Linked DNA regions of Oryctolagus cuniculus. The protein of the gene in region 2 interacts with the protein of the main gene of each other region in a biochemical or structural test. Links are inferred from orthologs where the notes say so. Each region holds a gene or a part of one and is shown on either strand. Other genes may lie near its edges.

Evidence for each region.
Region 1: the proteins of FGFR2 (region 2) and FGF7 form a complex in vitro, tested with the Homo sapiens proteins (3 studies listed by BioGRID). The link is inferred for Oryctolagus cuniculus from reciprocal best matches to the Homo sapiens genes FGFR2 and FGF7.
Region 3: the proteins of FGFR2 (region 2) and FGF10 are reported together in a solved structure, tested with the Homo sapiens proteins (3 studies listed by BioGRID and IntAct, with this or other methods). The link is inferred for Oryctolagus cuniculus from reciprocal best matches to the Homo sapiens genes FGFR2 and FGF10.
Region 4: the proteins of FGFR2 (region 2) and PLCG1 form a complex in vitro, tested with the Homo sapiens proteins (2 studies listed by BioGRID and IntAct). The link is inferred for Oryctolagus cuniculus from reciprocal best matches to the Homo sapiens genes FGFR2 and PLCG1.

Annotation. Positions count from the first base shown.
Region 1 is NC_091443.1:72,203,095-72,207,192, reverse strand, and holds the start of FGF7 (fibroblast growth factor 7 precursor), read right to left. Parts: upstream 2,801-4,098; coding exon 2,515-2,800; intron 1-2,514. UniProt on the Homo sapiens protein: Plays an important role in the regulation of embryonic development, cell proliferation and cell differentiation. Required for normal branching morphogenesis. Growth factor active on keratinocytes.
Region 2 is NC_091446.1:9,298,849-9,305,064, reverse strand, and holds the start of FGFR2 (fibroblast growth factor receptor 2), read right to left. Parts: upstream 3,544-6,216; 5' UTR 3,059-3,543; intron 1,609-3,058; exon of another isoform or gene 1,328-1,608; intron 1-1,327. UniProt on the Homo sapiens protein: Tyrosine-protein kinase that acts as a cell-surface receptor for fibroblast growth factors and plays an essential role in the regulation of cell proliferation, differentiation, migration and apoptosis, and in the regulation of embryonic development.
Region 3 is NC_091445.1:69,802,246-69,806,268, forward strand, and holds the start of FGF10 (fibroblast growth factor 10), read right to left. Parts: upstream 2,801-4,023; 5' UTR 2,492-2,800; intron 2,380-2,491; exon of another isoform or gene 1,738-2,379; 5' UTR 1,375-1,737; coding exon 1,014-1,374; intron 1-1,013. UniProt on the Homo sapiens protein: Plays an important role in the regulation of embryonic development, cell proliferation and cell differentiation. Required for normal branching morphogenesis. May play a role in wound healing.
Region 4 is NC_091442.1:17,799,490-17,803,506, forward strand, and holds the start of PLCG1 (1-phosphatidylinositol 4,5-bisphosphate phosphodiesterase gamma-1), read right to left. Parts: upstream 2,801-4,017; 5' UTR 2,785-2,800; intron 2,038-2,784; exon of another isoform or gene 1,912-2,037; intron 1,868-1,911; exon of another isoform or gene 1,853-1,867; intron 1,440-1,852; 5' UTR 1,331-1,439; coding exon 1,114-1,330; intron 1-1,113. UniProt on the Homo sapiens protein: Mediates the production of the second messenger molecules diacylglycerol (DAG) and inositol 1,4,5-trisphosphate (IP3). Plays an important role in the regulation of intracellular signaling cascades.

The sequences.
Region 1 (4,098 bases), on a different chromosome or scaffold from region 2:
ATCTTCTTTGAGTATTTTAACCAAATTCTGCTAAGTATTTTCCTTGTACCTAGCTTTCCTAACATAATGGCTTCAATTTCACATCTATCAATTTGCATGTTTATGTGCATTCTTTAAATGAGTAAGACTGCCACATAAGTAATAGGAAATGACAATTTCCTTCTAATAAATTGTTCTCCATATTTTCTTCATTGAAATATTTTCTTCTATACCTTACTATTTCCTATATTTAAAAATGCCTTAGCCTCTTTTCAGCTTTGTAAAAATCTTACTGACTCTTAAAAAGCATAACAGCATAGACAATAATTTTAGAGTTTACTTAAAGAATCCTAATGGAAGTTTCCTTTTCCAGGATAATATACCATATCAAGAAAGCATAACACACACACACACACATATATATATATATATATTATGAAAAAGCTTGTAGGTAAGAATTATTTATGTAATGCATACCATGTCTTTTTAGTACATATGACATTCTAATTTATAATGACATAACTTTGTTATTGCAGAACTAATATTAGAATACAAAATATTAATCAAATTGAGTTTATGATTACTCCAGGCTAGCATTAAATTGTGTCTCAAAATATAAAATAACTTTAACCCTTTGTTTATGTATATAAATACCTTAGTTTCATGATTTTAAGAAATTTTAACATAAAATTTATGGGTGATTTATGTATGTGAATTAATTCCAATTGTAGATATTTTTATCTCAAATACTTACACATACTATTCACTTCCACTGAGTTTTACATTTAAGTTTTTACTTTTCATTATTTGTTAAAAGCATTCAAAAGGAACTACCTTTACATAGGATTCTGTAGTGTTTGTTTGATCATTCATTACTACAATTTGACAATAGTTCCAGCAGTTGATCTTACCATCAGATAATATTTAATCTCATTTGTTGTGTGTGATAATTATAAAATAGATACTTAGGTTTCTTCATATTTATGTAGTATGTTATGTAGTTTAGAACAGAATAGACTATAAGAGTTAGAAAGTACCTTAGAAATCATCTGTATACATCCCATGTTTTAAAAATGGAAAAATTGAACATTACAAAAACTAAGAGATTATACCAAAGTCATTCACACACAGGAATTGGACCTACGTGTTATAAGTCCACCAGAGTACTATCATCTCCACTAGACTCCATTAACTATGACAAATCTCAGTGAATACATTGATGTCTACAAGTCAAATCCTTTTGCTTATATAAAACTTCCTCCAAATACTCATTTGCTTAGCTAAAAGTCAGTATAACTAGAACAATCTTCTAGAATTAACATACCTTTATTAATGCCAATAATAATAATAAAACCATAACTTAATTCATTAAATGGCCTTAACATCATGTATCAATTATAATTTTAAAGATCTCTCACTTTGACAATGGAAATTTATTGGCTGATTAGGTAAGAAGCCTAAAAGCAACTCAGTAAACAGCAAAAGTTTTAAGTAACTATTTCAAGCCTGGCACTGTTCTAGGTATGTGTGTTTACACCATCATTCCCATGTATTCCTTTATAACTGACTTTAACACACACATTATAAAATATGTACCATTAACATTGTCCTAGTGCTAGTAATGCAACAAAAATTCATGTTCATTGAGATATTTTAAATCTTTAATGTGTATGTTGAGATATATTTTGCCCCACTAAATTTAATATTATTGAAATTGGCTACTAATCCTGTTAAATGAAAAACCCATCCCTTAAAATTTCATCATGAATAGAAAAACTGATCCTTGGGGAATATATCTTTTCAACTGGAAATCATTGAATTAATATCTCTTCCAATTCATTTTTATTTCCTCACACTTATGTTTATCTTAAGGCAACATATAACTTGTGTGATATAGAAGATTTGGTTAAAGAAAATGTTAGAAGAAATCTATTTTTCTGTGTAGGTATATAATTAAGCAATTGTATAAGTTCATTATGACTTGACTGGATAAGGATACCATAGACTCCCTTCTGTTTCATAACTACACACAATTGGATAAGAATGCATTTTTAAACACAGTTTAAGTATTTTACATCATGAAATATTCTTTGAAAGGAAATCAAATCAATAAAAATAAATGAATTTTGTTTCTCACAGGAGTGATAAGTAGTTTTAGTGAGCATTTACTTAGTACTATATGACATTCCCTAATGAGTTTTGCTAGAAAATTATAAATCACATTTCATTGTGAATAATATATTTTACATTTTGCTTTATTTGTGAGCATTTTGAGATTAGGACATGCAACATTTATTTTCAAATTGTCTTTTGTTATCAATTCAAATATAATATTTATAATATTCATAATAATATTTTCCCTGTTCTAGAGGATATTTTTAAGGACATAGTTCAACTATCTCAAGTTAAAGAATTAGGTGACATTTCACTTAATTGCTTTAAAAGGAAAATGAGAAAGCATGTCCCCTGAAAATTGATCCTTTAACAGATTGTTAAAGTTCATAAGCAGTGCTTTAAACAAAAGACGTTACTTACTGTAATTGTTCTTCATCTCTTGAGTCCCTTTTACTTTGCCTCGTTTATCAATCCTCAGATACCACTGTGTTCGACAGAAAAGTCTTCTCACTCTTATATCCCCTCCTTCCATGTAATCATAACTTCTTGTATGTCGCTCAGGGCTGGAACAGTTCACATTTGCAGCCATTTGCTCTGGAGTCATGTCATTGCAAGCTAAAGATATAGTGGCCACTAGACAGATAATGTGAAAGCATGATCTGTAGAGCAAAGTTGGCAGGATCCATGTCAGTATCCATTTGTGCATTATAGTGTAGTGCTCCGGGTGTTCATGAATAACATAATGAAAATTAAATCTTGAGTTGATTGTTATTCCTAGGTCATTGACCTCTTCCTATCTTTGAATTGCAGATTGATTTAAGAAAGAGTAGTTGCTCTTTCCAAATGTTAGACTTATCCTTTTAGTTCCTGATAAAATATAGGATTCCTCCTTAAGTAACTCTGATATATCCTTATAAAAACAGGTTGTAATAAACTCAGTTGCTGCGATGCTGTTTGCTACTTGGCTTCTGTTTATAATGAGAGATTGGGAATGGGGAAGGGAGAAGAAAAGGAAGATAAAAATACTATGTATAAATTTCAGTGGCTAAATAGTATTATAACATGCAATGTAACTTATAGTACAAAGATACATTTAAAACAGCTTTCATAGAGGATGTCAGCATCTTTACCATTCTACATGTAGATTTATAAAAACTGTGCATTAATAGAGACAAATAAGAATTTGACTGTTCATATAAGAATATAAGAATTCATATGAGAATATGTCCATTCATTCCGGTTGCTATTTTGTAAGAAACATCCTGTACTTACAGCTATTTATTTAAATTAAGTTATACAGTTACTGTTAACAAAATATAAATGCTTTTCCTGGATTTCCTTATTATATGCTTTTACATTTTCAGTTATTTTCTCCTAAACAGCCCACATTTTCAAGTTAAGTGTCAGGAGTTCCCTGCAGAACTTCAGCTTTATCTTTACATAAGTTCTACAGCATAATTATATATTCACATAGCTCAGAAATCTGGTCACTTTACTTTTCCCTTCAACACTAAAACCAGAGAAAGAGACAAACTTTTAGAAAAACATTCAGCATTGTTTTTAAAGACAAATAACAGTAACTTACTTGTTCTGTTTATAACAGCTGGATACACAAGAATTCCATGTCTGTTGTCTGCCTTGTGCAACTTGAGCCTCTCTACTGTAGCTACAAACTATTTCTCAGCTGAGAAATTCTCCAGCAGAATCATAATTGTTTCCATAAATCAACAGGCAAGAGGATTTTCTTTCTGTGTGTGAGCGCGTGTATGCTTGTGTGTGTGTGTGTGGAGCCTTTTTATTCAGCGCTTTTCGATAAATACCTTTGCTGACCTCATTGGAAGCAATTAAAACTTAACCAGTGAGCTGTTAGTTGAATACAACAGCAAGAATAAAAAGAGGCTTGTATAGTATTCAGTGGTCATGAGAGGGAGCTATGAACATGGTTTATGTGTAAATCCACAAACGGGTACCTACTTTGAAAATAGATCTGATTCTGAGGTAGTT
Region 2 (6,216 bases):
AGCCCAGGGGTTTGTTCCACTCCCTCTGTGGTGCTCCGGAAGACAGGGATCCCAGGAAGCTTACAGAGAAATCCCCACCAGGTTCCACTTGTCAGGACTCATTTTCAAACGCAGAAGTGGATTTCAATCCCTCGCCAGAAGACGGAACAGAATCGGAACACAGTCGAAGCGGCTATCCAAAAAGGGGGGGCAAGACCAGAAGTCCCCTGCACCGACCAAACGGCAGCGGACGGCTAAACGTCTCCAACCTCAGCAGAGGGGTGGAGAAGCGCAGACTCGGATGAATAATGCAAGAGTTTATTAATGATGATGATGATGTGTGAATTACGCTGACATGCTGGCTCGGCCAATAACCTATTTATTTCTATTTATTTTAAATTTGTCTTTGACACAGAGACAAGAGAAAGACACAGAGAAAGACAGGGAAGGAGCTCCCACTGGCTGCTTCACTCCCCCAGATATCCACAAAGCCTGCGGAAGCCAGGAGCCAGGAATGGAATCCAGGTCTCCCACGTGGATGGCGGGAACCCAGTTACTTGAGCCATCACCACTGCCTCCCGGGGTCTGCCCTAGCAGGAAGCCGGAGTCCGAAGCCTGAGGCTGGTACCCAGCCCAGGTACCGGGATGTGGCACACAGGAGTCTCAATCTATCTATTCTGTTCACCCAACGGATACCAGGCAGGGACTTTTCCCAGGAAGTTTAAAATATTCCTAATAACTTTAAACTCATTCATGTCGTCAGTGACAGAGAATTTGATTCAAACAGTCCCACAAAATGATACCCCAAGTTCAGGCTTCAGACCCCATGAACCACACTTCCTAAGGCTGGGGGGGGGGGGCAGGCAGGAGCGAGAACTTTAATACAAAAATCTCTAACCCGGGCTTGCTGCGTGCCAACTTGATGTTTCAAATTATGCTGAGGAGATTTCCACACCGCTGGCACCTCCCTAAAGGTCTACCATAAAAATTGTTCCTTCCAGTCCTGGGGTTCAAGTGGGTGCAAGTGAAGAGGTTCCCAGAGCAGGGATAAGGAAAGCACAGGTGACAGGCTGCCATCCACAGCAAAGGCAGGAGGAGAGCGCGTTGTGCACGTGTCCGTGTGCGCCTGTGCAGCTCCAGGGACTTCCCTAACTTCTCTTCCCCTTCAAGTCAAGAGCCTTCAGACAGGCTGTGTGTATCCCTACAGCCATGTGGGAGGGGAGCACAGAGCATTCCTGTGCATCTACAGAATGCAGGGGAATTTTCCGCCTCTAACGCTTCAGGAGCAATCTCACATCCCGCAGCGCAAGGACTGACCCCAGGCTGCTCCCCCGGCCGCTCCACCCACCTGCACAGCCAAGAAAGGAGGACAGTGGCCAGTGCCCGCGGCAGACCCCAGGGAAAACCTGAATTTCCGTCAGTCTCCAGGTTCAGGCCCCGCGGCGGTCCTCCGCCCCAGCTCTTTGCGAGGCCCAGGCCCCCGGGGCGGCAGGTACTGGAGTGGACACCAGGCCCAGGCGACCCCCCGGGCAGGATAATGAGGTCCCGGGGCTCGGTGTTGGGAACACAGGCCCAGCATGCCGCTGGCGGCCACAAGCCCGGCTTCCGGCCTGCACAGCCATACTCCTTCCCGGGGTCTGAGCCTCAGCGAAAGCCTGTTTATTTTTCCCCTTGAAAGGGAACTCTCTGCTCAGCCCGCGCGCCGCTGGAGCTGTCACCCTCCCTCTGATGGATGGCTCTCGTCCACCGCCGCCGCCCCCCCAACCCCGGCACAAGTCTGCCCCCCCAAGACGCGAGCTGGGACTAGCGCAAAGAGCCCCGCGGGCGCCTGGCCCTGCTCCGGGAGCCACAGCTAACAGCCCCAAACCCCAAGCCCACGCGCCCCGAGAGGCCGATAGAGGGGCCACCTGCCCCTCCGCTCCTGGGCGGACTTCGCGCGGGAAAGTCAACAGCGCCAGGGCAGGGGCGCCTCCACCCCCAGCCCCCTTGCTCCAGGCCTCCCAACTTCACCCCAGAGCCGAGGAGGACAGGCGATCCGCCGGGGAGTCCAGCCTAGGGGAGCAAGTCCGCAACACGTGGAAATCCCAGCAAACGCGGCCCCAGACCCGCGCCGACTCCGCATCAGCGCCCGCAGCCCCGGGCGCACGCCCCCAAAGCCGCGGCCCGGGCGCTCCCCGCCGCCAACCCGCTCCACGGTCGCGCAGCTTCCCCGGCACGGCCTGGAATCTCCAGTTTTTCTCGCCCCTTCTCGGGGCGCTAAAGAGCTTGGGGAAATCTGCATTTTAATTGACATTCCAGGGAGCGGGAGAGGGGCGCCTGATTGCTTTTCTATTCAAACTAAACAGGCTTTTCAGATGAAAATGAGTTCGAGGCCGGGGGAAGATTTACGGGGATTTGGGACGCGGGGGACAATGGGGTTTTAAGCGTGGACAGCGCTTCACGCCCGCAGTGCAAGGGGTACCCCGAGGGGGAGGTCCCCCCAGGTGGGGAGCGAGGAGGCACCGTCCCGGGACCAGTTCGCGAGGCCCGGCGCCCTCGGCCGCGTCCCCGGCGCCGCCCGGTGCTGCAGGAATGGGCGCGCAGGTCGGGACTCGCCGCGCTGTCGACATCGGCGGCGGCGGAGCGGGCGGGCCGAGGGGGAAACGTCGGTCCAGGTCGCCCCCTAGCCCCAGGAGCGCCGAGCTCGCGCAAGGGCGCCCCGCACCGAAACCTGGGAACCCGAAAGACGGCCCCCGCAGGCGCCACCCCTCCGGGAGGTCGCCAGCCCCCCACCGCCGCCGCCGCCGCCGCCTCCAGAGGCTTCCTCCCGGGGAAGGCTTCCCTCCAGGACCTGGATGGGACGGGCACCCCGAAGATGCGCCTCCGGAGCCCCGGCCTGCGGGGGTGGCGCCCGCCCGACTTTGACAGCGAAGGGGTTGTCAGCGCCAGAGGCAGCGTCAGCACCTGGCGTGGGTGGTCCTCGGGTGCCAGCCCTCGGCTCGCACCCACCTCCCCAGCACCGACGCGGCCCGGGGCGCAGGACGCGGAGTGCCCCCTGCCCGCGCTCTCACTTCCCCGAAGCGCCCAGCGCGCCGATTACCTTGAATGGCAACGCTGCTCCGCGATCCGGGCAGTCCCCGCGCACGGCGCGGCTCGGGATGCGGCCGGAGACGCGCCCGGGAGAGCCTCCAAAGCCGAGCAAGAGGAGTCCCGGGGCGGAGGAGGGCGGTGGGCCCGGCCGGCGCGGAGGCTCCGCGGCTTCACGCGCACCGCAGGCTGCGGAGGCGCGCGGGCATCACGCCCGCCCGCTGCCCCTCGGGTCCGGGGAAGCGCGGTGAAGAAAGGGCTCGGCGTCCGCTCCGCCAAACTTCGCTCGCAAGTTGCAGGCGCCCGGAGAGCGCGCGCGAGCTGCGGCCTCGGGGCCCCCCGGTGCGCGCGGGCCGCCCGCCAGCCCGGAGAGCGGTGGCCGCGCCGGGCCTCGCACGCCGCAGGCAGCCCCCGGGCGCCCGAGCTTTGTGGCGGCCGCGCGCGCTCGCCGCTCGCCGCTCGCCCGCCGGTCCGCTCCGCTCCGCGCCCGCCCGCTCGGCTCTCCGCGGCGCTCTCCGCGGCCCCGCCGCCGCCGCCGCCGCCGCCTCCTCGCTGCGGGTCACGCCCCCGCTGAAACCCGAGCCGCTTCCTGGACGGCGGCGCCCGCTCTGCCAATCAGCGCCGCGCGCCCGGGCCGCCCCGCGCCGCGCGCGGCTCCCGACGCCTGCGAGGCGCCCGCGACGCCCGGCCCCGGTGGCCGCGGAGCGGTGCCGCCGAGGCCCCCGAATAAGGCCTGCTCCCGCGGCGCGCCCGGGCGAGCTGGCCCGCGGCCGGCCTCACGCTGGCTCCGGGCGGGATGGAAAGCCAGCGACACGAGGTGCTGCCCCTCCGAGGCACGGAAGCCTCGCCCGCACCGTGCGAGGCGGCGGAGCGCCTCTGCACCGTTTCTCTGGCCTTGCGCACAGAGGGCAGAGCCCTGGCCGGGAAGCTCCCGCGGAGCCCCGCGCCCCACTTCGGGAGAGGCGTGAGCGGGTCGGAGAGGTCACCCCGTTGGGCCGGGGTCACCCGGAGGACCCCGCAGAGCCTGCCCTGGAATCTGGCTCTTTTGAGAAAAGGCCCCAAGCAGCAGTAGCAACAGCAGCGGGCTGTTTCGTCACCCACGAGCATATTGGGTTAATAAACAGAAATGCGAAACTCTCAAGGCTGCCAGGAACAGCCTGACCCTAAGCAGACCCTAACCTGCCTCTGAATCTCAGATGCTTTGGCGGCACCAAGCTGTCACTGATTAAAGTCCGGGTTTTCTGTGTGCCCTTTCCGCTAGGCCGTGTCTGGGGATAATTTGTTTTTAAATCTACTTTCCCAGACAGCTCCTGAGCCATCTCAAGACCCTACAGATAAAACCCTTAATTATTTGTTCTTAGAAAAATGTCACCTAACCCAGAAGTCCCTGAAAAGCCTCTTGGGGGGGAAGGTGGACGGGGCAGGGAACAGCCGACCCCCACACACACACCCCGGGTGCACCCCACAGCCAGCGGGAAGATGTGTTTGTTGGCCAGGTGATGAGACAATCGGTTTCATTCAGCTGCAGCCTTGGAAACTTCTATGCAGATGGCTTCAAATCTGGGAGTGACAAATCCATCTACCTGCCTCAGGCCACAGCTGTGAAATTGTATTTGGGGAGGCTGACAGCAAAAACAAGAGCTGGGCAAGTCAAAGGATCTGTGTAGATGCTTGTTCGATGGGGCGTGCTGTTGGCAAAGTCCTCTGGCTGAGCTGGCCTGTCCCAGCCCGGCTTTGTCATTAGCAGGTGTCTCAGCCAGGTGACACCCAGCCTCTGCCCTTACAGGGGCCGCTCAAGCCAGAGATCCTGGGAGAGACCAGGGACCGTGGCCCAGCGTCTGTCTGAGCGGAGGCTGGCGCTGACGTCTTTATGTTCCCCACCGATGGGAAACAAGTGGCTCAGGACGAAGCCCGTGCCCAGGAAAGGCCACTGGCGCATTCTCACATAAATTACCCATGCAGGAAGCCGCTGTCCCCACCGGCCAGCCGTCGGTAGGGCCCGGCACTCTGAATGCAAACGAAGCCTGGCACAGAGAGTGACACAAGACGTGTACGCTCGTGTCCAGACGCAGCCTGCAGAATTGACTCTTTATGGAGGTGCAAAGACCAGTGCGTCAGAAGCGCCTCACTCCCATTAGGAGCACTCATTTCTGGGCCAGAGAAGCCCAGAGCCTGCACCAGCAAACTCCGCCGTTTTGGGAAAAGAAAAAGCATGTTTGGAATTTTTTCGAAAAAAATCAACTCTGTCATCATACTGAGGCTGCGAGTGACCTCAGACGGTCCGGTCCAGGAAAGCTGTCACACCAGCGAGGCTCTGAATGAGCGAATAATCTCTTGGTAGCTCGCTCTCGCTCTCGCTCTCTCTCTCCCTGTCTTCCCACTTCAAGCCGCTGGAACTGCTTTTGTCAATGACCTCGTGAATGGTGTCGCTAATCAGCCCATTAATGCGCTTCCCCAGCAGAGTGTGAATAGGTAAATAAGCCCCAGTCTGCGCAGTGCTGGGACCAGGGCAGCAAAGCCAGCGAGAACTAAAGGTGACAGTTGGAACTGCACCAGGAGCACCCGCACCAGGTCTCGCTGAAAGCCCCACCAGACAAGGCCACTTTCACAGTCCCTGCACCCCCTACGAGGCCCCTTTCTTCCCATTGTCCCCCTCGTTCAAAATGTCTTGAGTAGTCACCCTTTTCTCCCCCGAAGCCCTTGCGAACGATACATCAACGAGGAGGAAGAAAGCCCAGGACACCAAGCGTGAGGCCCCGGCCCTTCCAAGGAACAAATCGCGCTGCCGACCCGGCGGTGGCAGAGAGACCAGGGAAGGGGGTGGGGGCAGCCTCCTGGCCACAGCGAAAACGCTCTCCTTTCAAGACCCGGAGTTTCTCTTTCCCCTCGCTCGCTCGCTTGCTCACTCTGCACCAGGCAGCTGTGCCTTCCCTGTAGAAAAGTCCGAAGCCCGAATGCTGCTGGCCTCCCGGCGTGGACCCGCGCTCCCTGCAGAACCGCGCATGTCCTCCTCGAAGCGACATCACAGTGATGTCCACGCGCACAGCAGCGCTGGAGGGGAGAGCGAGCACTAGCCCGGGGGCTCTGTGCGCACAGATGCCCTGGTGGCCAGAGCCCAGCTGGGGAGCTCGTGCTGTTGTTGCTGAACAGCGAAGTCATCGCATCACAAGT
Region 3 (4,023 bases), on a different chromosome or scaffold from region 2:
TCCCTCTGCCCAGCCCACACCCTTGCAAGAAAGAAAGAGGGAAAACAAGGGAAAAGGTGAGAGAGAAATCCAGGGACCCTGGCATCAACTGTCTTTAGCAGAAAGCCTCATCCTATGGGATAAACTATAGCCATGGAAACAGACGTATGACTCTTACTTTGAAAAATAAAAGGATGACAATGAAATTTGTGTGAGGTCTGTGTGAATCCAGCCCCAGATGTTTACAATGCTGTAGTAGTAGGGCTCTGCAATATGAGAGGTTTCAGACCAAACAGTACAACGGGACACCACAAAGCAGCGCATATGCTATTGACAATGCAGACACGAGCATCATGTTACCAAGAGAGAAGGCAGGCAGAAGACAAATAGCAGCGGAGTTGCCTGAAAAGCTCACTTCACGGACTGCAATCGCTCACAACAAGAGGGACCAAAAAAAAAAAAAAAAAATCAAAACCAGAAAAGGGCTTTTCGCTCCTATCTCCGTGTTAGGCAGCCAGTGGAAATGACTTTTCTTTCTTAAATAAAGTTCCCATAAAGCCCCTATAACTGACAGGGGATAATTATTTTCAGCTTGGGGAGCCTGTCCCAAAACTCTTCACAAGATTGCCAAGGAAAAGAAACAAAATGTGTTTACTTGAGCCACTTCCAGAAGGGAGGGAGAGAGGGGACCTTCGGACGCGATGGGGAAGGGCGGTGCAGACATAGAGGGGCATCGGTGCCCTGCACAACTCGCGAGCGCCCTGCGCGGTCCAGCGAGTGACAAGCCCGGGAGAAGAGACCGAGAGGGTGGCGCCGGGTGGGGGGCGTGCAGGGAGCGGGCCTAGGGGAGGGGATGCAGCCGCACAATGTATACACGGGGGGGGGGGGTGATTTAGTGTGAAAGTATTCCACTTAATCATTTTACAGGGGTTGGCGACGTAAATATTTAGCTGGCCACATCTGGAACGGATTTCCCCCCCGCGTGGGGTGGAGGTGGATAATTGGCAGGAAGGGAGCACGCGTTTGTTACTTACTGTACGGGCAGTTCTCTTTCTTGGTCCCGCTGACCTTCCCGTTCTTCTCAATCTTGAGAAAGTACTTGGTGAAAGAGAATAGCTTTCTCCAGCGCACATCTCCTTGGAGGTGATTGTAGCTCCGCACATGCCTCCCGGCACTGGAAGGAGAAGAGAAGGAGGAGGAGGAAGAGGAGGAGGAGGAAGAGGAGGAGGAGGAGGAGGAAGAGTTGGTGGCCTCTGGTGACACCATGTCTTGACCAAGGGCTTGGCAGGTGACAGGGACGGAAGACACCAAGAACAGCAACAAGAAGCACCAGCAGCAGCCGCCGGGCAGGTGGGGAAAGGCTGAGGCACAATGTGTCAGTATCCATTTCCACATTGTACTGAAACTCTCGGCACTGGAAATTGTCTCATCAGAAGGAACATACTGGAAGGGTGAGACCTGGTGCAAGGCAAGGAGACAGCTGGAGGTGGCGGCTGCTGGTTAGCTCCCTCCGGGCGCGGATCTGGCCAGAAGTGAATGCACCAACATCCATAACTCCTCCGGAGGGCCGGCAGCCTGGGCTCGCTCCGTCCGCGGATCCGCTGCCTGCGCCTCGCGGGGTCTGCCCGGGCACAGTGGACGTGGGTGGCCGCAGCAGCGGGAGCCGGCGCTGTGGGTCACCGGCGCTCTTCGCTCCCCCAGGAGTCACTTTGTTCTCTTCTTCACTCCCTTCTTCACCATGTTAGATGCAAAAAAGGTCTGAAAAACAGATGACAGCACGGTGAACAAAACCTAAGGGGGGTGGGGAGGGGGAGGGGGGGATCCCTGCGCCCCTCGGCGGTTGGCACCTCCTGGTCCCCCTCCGCAGAGCCTCAGCCTGCTGGCCGCTGCAGAAAACGTGTCCCTTTGGGGATGTCAGCTCTGCAGGCAGCTGCCCGGTCGCCGTTGTTTCGTTGTTTTCTTCCCCGTCTTCCTTGCTCTTTTTGGTGGTGCCTGCTGATGTGAAGCCTCCAGAAAGTCGCTCCTTTTGGGGGGGAGGGGGGTGGCGGCTGGTGTTTTTGTTTGGGCCCTCTCCCCCACCCCCCTTCCTTTGGAAAGTCCGCTTGTAAACAGGTTGAAGCTCAGAGTCTAAATGTCAGTGGTGGTTCCGAGCCAGAGGTGGGCTCTGCCTCTGCTGGTCAAACCTCATTTGCAGGGGTGGAGGAGCGGGGGGAGGGGGTCAAAAGGCGGTGGGACATCTGAAACCCTCGGCTGCTGGGAACGCCGGGGCGGGGGGGAGGGAGGAGGCCGGGCGGGGGGAGCCCGGGGAGAGCGCGCCGCCTGCGCCCGGAGCTCGGGGGCTCCGCGTCCCGGCCCCGCCGCCGCAGCCTCGGCGGCCGCCTCCGGCTCCTCTCGCTGCCCCAGCGCCCTGCGCTCTCCGCGCCGGCCGCCAGCGCGAGCGGCGTCCTCCAGCTTCGCCAGTTGTGCCGTCTGGCAGCCTGAACCAATCCCCTGTCGGGAGCCCCTTTCTCACTTGTTTTCCTGCGCTGCTGTTGTTGTTTTTCCTTTTGGCAGTGAAGTTCTTGAGAGCCACCTGGAGCCTGGTGCTTACTGACTTTTTTTCTTCCTTCTTCTTCCCCAGCCCCTCTGTCTTCCCCAAGGAGGGAGGGCTGCGGAGAAAGCAGAAGATGCTGAGGATAAACCCTCCCAAACAGCAGATTATAAACTGGTGGGAGCGAGCACGGCAAAGGGAGACTTAATGAGCTTCCTCTCCTTCTCTTCTGCCCGCTTCCAAGGAGGTCTCCGCTTTAATGAATCACTGATTTCTCGCTTCCGTTGCTGAAGTAAAAAGTTCACACTTTGGCCCTCTCAGCCTTTTAAGCTCAGGGAGATTTATCGTCACCCTTAAAAGTCGCCTCTCTCTTGGCGCAAATGAAATCAGGGACCCAAATGACCGATTTCTAATTGCTAACATGAGTCCCTGACTGAATCGCGCGTGCACTTCAAAGCGAACGCACTTGATTGAGATCCCAAAGGTTTTTACCATACAATTTTGCCAAATACCCTGCTGTCTGTTTTCTTTTCTGTGCAATTTCCTTTGCACTTTACCATAAAGGGCCTGGTTTTTTTCTATCTTCGGACGCAATGCTTAAAGGGTCCTACTTGACAATATTACTGCACCATCAGCTCACTCCTCACTCTTCCGGAAGCTGCGTTGCTCGCAGAAACTCACTCACAACCCAGGTATGGATAGAACTAAGTCCAAGGCTCCGGAAACTTTGCCAAGAGTTAAGGGGCACAAAGAAGGGAATACTGCGAGAACCCATTACAACCGAAGTAAGGGACAATTCCTCCGGGACCACTTCTTCTAAGAATTACTCTAACCTGGGAAATTTCACTGGAAGGAATGCCTAAACACATATTGGTCCAAAGCATATATGTTATGGAGGGCAGTTGGACAGTTGCGTTTTGTTGGAACGTCAGTATTTTATCCACTGGACCTGTGAAAGTAGCAGTTCCCTATGTTTCAACCTAATTGCCTGCCAATCTAAGACAGAGATTCTAGGTGAACTTGAGAGTCAAACAATTGCCACTGTTACTTGGAAGGAATTAGCCATAAGAGCTTATGATATACAAACCAAATTCCTTATAATGTGCATTTCATTGTGAACTGAAGAAAATACAAAGGAATTAAAATTGTACTTTTAGAGGTGAGAGTACGCATTTGATTGAGTAACTTAAAAAACAGCTTTACATGTAAGCTCTTATAGTTTCCTGTGCATTCAGAGCCTTTGAAATAGAACCATTTAATACTAGAATCGGGACATTAATCGCATTATTTATAACTTATTGCAAAGCTTATTTATTAGATTTCAACAATGTGGTAAACATCACAGTAGATTTTTATATTTAATATAATTAGTCCTTATTACCGTAGCTATTAATTGCAAAGTTAAGCAAATAAAGGGCATACATCAAACAAGTCTTGCTCTTTAATTAAAACATGGATATTAAAAAATGAACCCACAGTGCTGATTTCAATTTCCTAGCTCACACTTTTATACC
Region 4 (4,017 bases), on a different chromosome or scaffold from region 2:
CTCCACATGCCCCTGGTTCTAGTACCCATCTCTGGGGGGTCCTTGGAGGAAACAACCCACAGCCTGGGGTTACAGAAACATCATCTGTTCACACAGGAAGGCGAGAGAGAAAGGAGGGCAGAGCTGAGTGCCCATCCGGCCACAGCTCAGGCATGCAGTGAGTGCAGTAACACACTGAAAGATCTGGGGTTTTTTCAAAATCCCCTAACCCCCTCCTCCCACTAGAGACCTGCGCAAAAGCAGCCAAGCTCAGGCCTGGCAAGGCACAGAGGCAGGAAACCAAGGGGGGAGCCACTGTCGGCTCCCTGTGGCCACCGGACACAGGACACAAAGGGCTAGACCCCAAACAGGCTACCCGCTCTGAGACAGGAGTACCTGACGCCAAGGCACTTGGACTGGCCTGTCTGGGGCCAAGCTTCAGGTGGGTGCTTCCAAGTGCAAGGGCACAGCCCCTTTACCCAAGAGCCTGCCCCGGCTTTGGGCACCGGCATAGGCCTCCAAAAACTCAGCTTTGGGACAAAAGCAGCAGCAAGTAAAAGCGGCCTTTCTCAGGCTTCGCCAAGACAGAAAGGACCACCTTCTTCTCCCTCCCCAAGCAGATGAGCAGGCCTAGCCCTGTTTCAAAACCAGCCCTACCTCAACATCTGCCTAATTTTTACCCAGGGAACCCAAAGGTTCCCTTGCAATGAAGAGCCCAGCCTTGGGACCCAGGGAATCTCGCACCGCTCTTTCTGCAGAGGGGGAGGGCAGTGACCCTCGGGCCCCGATCGCGGGCAGGGTGGGCGCAGCTTGGCTCCCCTCGCCCGCCACCGCCGCTCCTTCCCGGGACTGGAGGGGCTCGACGCCTGCCCCGCTGGACTCCAGTCCGCCAGGATTTTTTAGGCCTCAGGGAAAGACGTCTGGAGGAGTCCCCCCAGCCGGGGGAGGGGGCGTCCTATCAGGTGACCGAGGATTTGGATGATCCCCGCCCCCCAGTGAGCACCGGAGCCGAGGCGGGGGCGGGTCCAGTGGGGGTGGGGAGAGCCCAAAGTTTGCCCAAGTCGCCAGGGAGGGCCGCGGCCGCGCGCGCCTCGCCAGCCCCGCGCGCGCAGCGGGCCCGGGGGCGGCACTTACTGGCCCCCTCGATCTTGTCGGCGCCGCGGCTCCACGTGATCTGGCGCGTCTCCAGTTTGACCTGGAAGGTCTTCCGCTCGGGCCGCTGCGACTTCTTGGAGTAGAACAAAGTCATGACGGTGCCCACCTCGAGGCTGCGGCAGAGGTGCAGCACCTCGGCTTCCGAGGGCGCGCCGGGAGCGCAGCCATTGGCGCAAGGGGACGCGGCGCCCGCCATGGCTCCGACGCTGGGGGCGGCGGCGGCGGCACAAGCCGGAGGAGCCGGGAGCAGGAGGAGGAGGAGGCGGCAGCTGAGGCGGCCGGCGACCGGGACCCGGCGGCGGCTCCTGCGGGCGGACACGGGGCGGAGCCTAAACACCGAAGGCGGGGCGGCCCGAGGATCCGCCCCGCCCGCGCGCCAGGAACAAAGGCGCCCGCGCGCCCGTGGGGAGGACCCCCGCCCCCGGCCCACCGCGCCTGCGCCCCGCGACCCCCGGCCAGGCCGCAAGCGGGGGCGCGGGGCGCCATGGTACGCCCCGCTCTCAAGCAATCCGTCCGTCGCTCGGCCCCGCAGAGCTTCCTCACGCGACCCCGGCAGGGCGCGGGGCCTCCACCGGCCCCGTCACGCACGGCAGCCCCGCCCACAGGCTGCAGGCCCGCGACCGACCGGCCCGTCAGTCAGGCGCTCGTGCACGCGAAGCCACCCGCCCACTGTCCCGCACAGGCCCGACCGCAGCCTCCGCGCCGCCCGCACAGCCACCTGGAGAAGATGTGAGGGTGCGACGCGCCCCTCGGGTCCGCCTGGCCAAACCCAATTACCTGGGCGAATTGCCCGGCGGAGGGAACCGGGCCAGGCCGGGCCGCCTCACACCCGCGGCGGCGGCGGCGGCGGCGGCGGCGGCGGAGGCGGGTTCTCCGCGCGCCCTCTTCGGGGAGGAGTGGGGGCGGGGCATCCCGAGGATTGGTCAGCGGGCTCTGATGGACAGCGTTCTGTCCCGCCCCCTCCCCCTGCCCGCGCAGAGCTGGCCCACAGGCCGCCCTTGCGAAGGCGAACCCCACGTCCGTCCTGCCCTTGCGTAGGTGCCCTTCCTCGGAGAAGCGCTTCGGGCGTGAGCATCCCCCGCAGGGCTCGTTAAACCCGCGCCCGCGCTGTCTGGAGACCTGACCTGTAGCCCCCAGCGGCCCTGTCTCTCTCCCTCTCTTGGCGTTGCCCGTTGCTCCTCGCCCTCGTTCCCCACGAGGCAGGACGCAGGTCGGATCCGTGAGGCGGGCTCAGGCCCTGCCTCACACCCCTCCTGCAGGTGCGCTCCTGAACTTTGGTTTTCCTGACCTCGCTCTGGACTCTGTCCTGGGCCAGTACCCATAGCGACCTGACTTCACGCAGTGCGCCGGTACCAGTGCCTCCACCTCCACGTCCCACTGTCCGCACCACGTTGCTACCTAATGCGGCTGCCTCACCCACACTCCCACACGGCTCCCCAGCCTTCGCTTTCTCAGAACATGGCACCAAACTCCTCTCGATTGCATAAGCCAAAAACCTGGCCAGTAACCTCGATTCCTCTGTCTGCCCCAGGTCAGATCCACCGAGGCCTGTTCACTTTGCCTGCAAGCCCACCAGGCCGTGGCCTCTCTCACCTGCGTCTGTTCTCCATGTTTAAATCTTTTAAAAGAAATAAAACCATGATCACCTACCTCTGGTCTACTATTCTCCCGCCCTGAGTGGCACACAGCAGGTTCTGATGGGCCTGGCCCCTTCCTATCTCCTGGCTTCTTCACTCTCTCTCCTCCCGTCAGCAGGCTTCTGTCTGGAATCATTCACCCTCTTCGTCTTCCTGAATGCTGTGAAAACTGAGGACATCTGCGGTCATGGGGAGGCATGCCTGACACGTGTTGCGCCAGGTGCTGCATTTCAGAGAGGCGCGGCCCAGCAGAGCTTTCCGGAGAAAGATCCAGGTGAGTTGGGATTTGTGAGGACAGGAGAGCATGTGTTCAGGCAACCGCACCCAGTACTAGGTGTGTGGAGCTGCCTCTGACTATCTCGCGGTGGTAGTAACTTGCGTGTGTGTGCATGCTCCTGCACTTTTGGTTCCTTCAAGTGTGGCCCCTAAGGCTCACAGCACTAGGCTCCTGTCAACTAAGGGCCAGCGGGGGAGCTGAGATGGACTGCCACCTAGTGACAAGCCTTTGAAGTGGGAGGCAGGCTGATCCTGATCACACGTGGTCCTCATAATCACCCTCTAATCAGGGACACTGGTCCCCAGTTTACTGATGAGGACGTTCAGAGAAGTTCTACATGACTTACCGAGCGGCCACGTCACTCACAACTGGGGACTTGAACCTATCCACCTCTGTTTTCTGCCTCACAAGAGGGCCTCTGGCTTAGGTAAGTCCTGGTGGTGAGCAGTCAGTGGGCATGAGGCTAGATGGCTACTGGCACAGGGAACCTGGCAGAACATTAGTGGTCAGAGCGTGGCTTGTACTCAAAGTGCCGCTGTCGCTGAGCTGCGAAGCGTGAGGAGAACAGGAGATCCAGCCCAGCCCCTCGGGGGATTAACAGACCTTAAACAAATAAGCACTCTGTTCTGTAAAGACACTTGTGATGAGGGCTCCAGAGGAAAAGAACAGATGAAAGAAAACACAGTGAGGTTGCCAGTGCGGCAGCTCACTAGGCTAATCCTCCGCCTGCGGCGCTGGCACACCGGGTTCTAGTCCCGGTCGGGGCGCCAGATTCTGTCCCGGTTGCTCCTCTTCCAGTCCAGCTCTCTGCTGTGTCCCGGGAAGGCAGTGGAGGGTGGCCCAGGTGCTTGGGCTCTGCACCCGCATGGGAGACCAGGAGGAAGCACCTGGCTCCTGAATCGGCGCAGCATGCCAGCCATAGCAGCCATTTGGGGGGGTGAACCAACAGAAGGAAGACCTTTCTCTCTG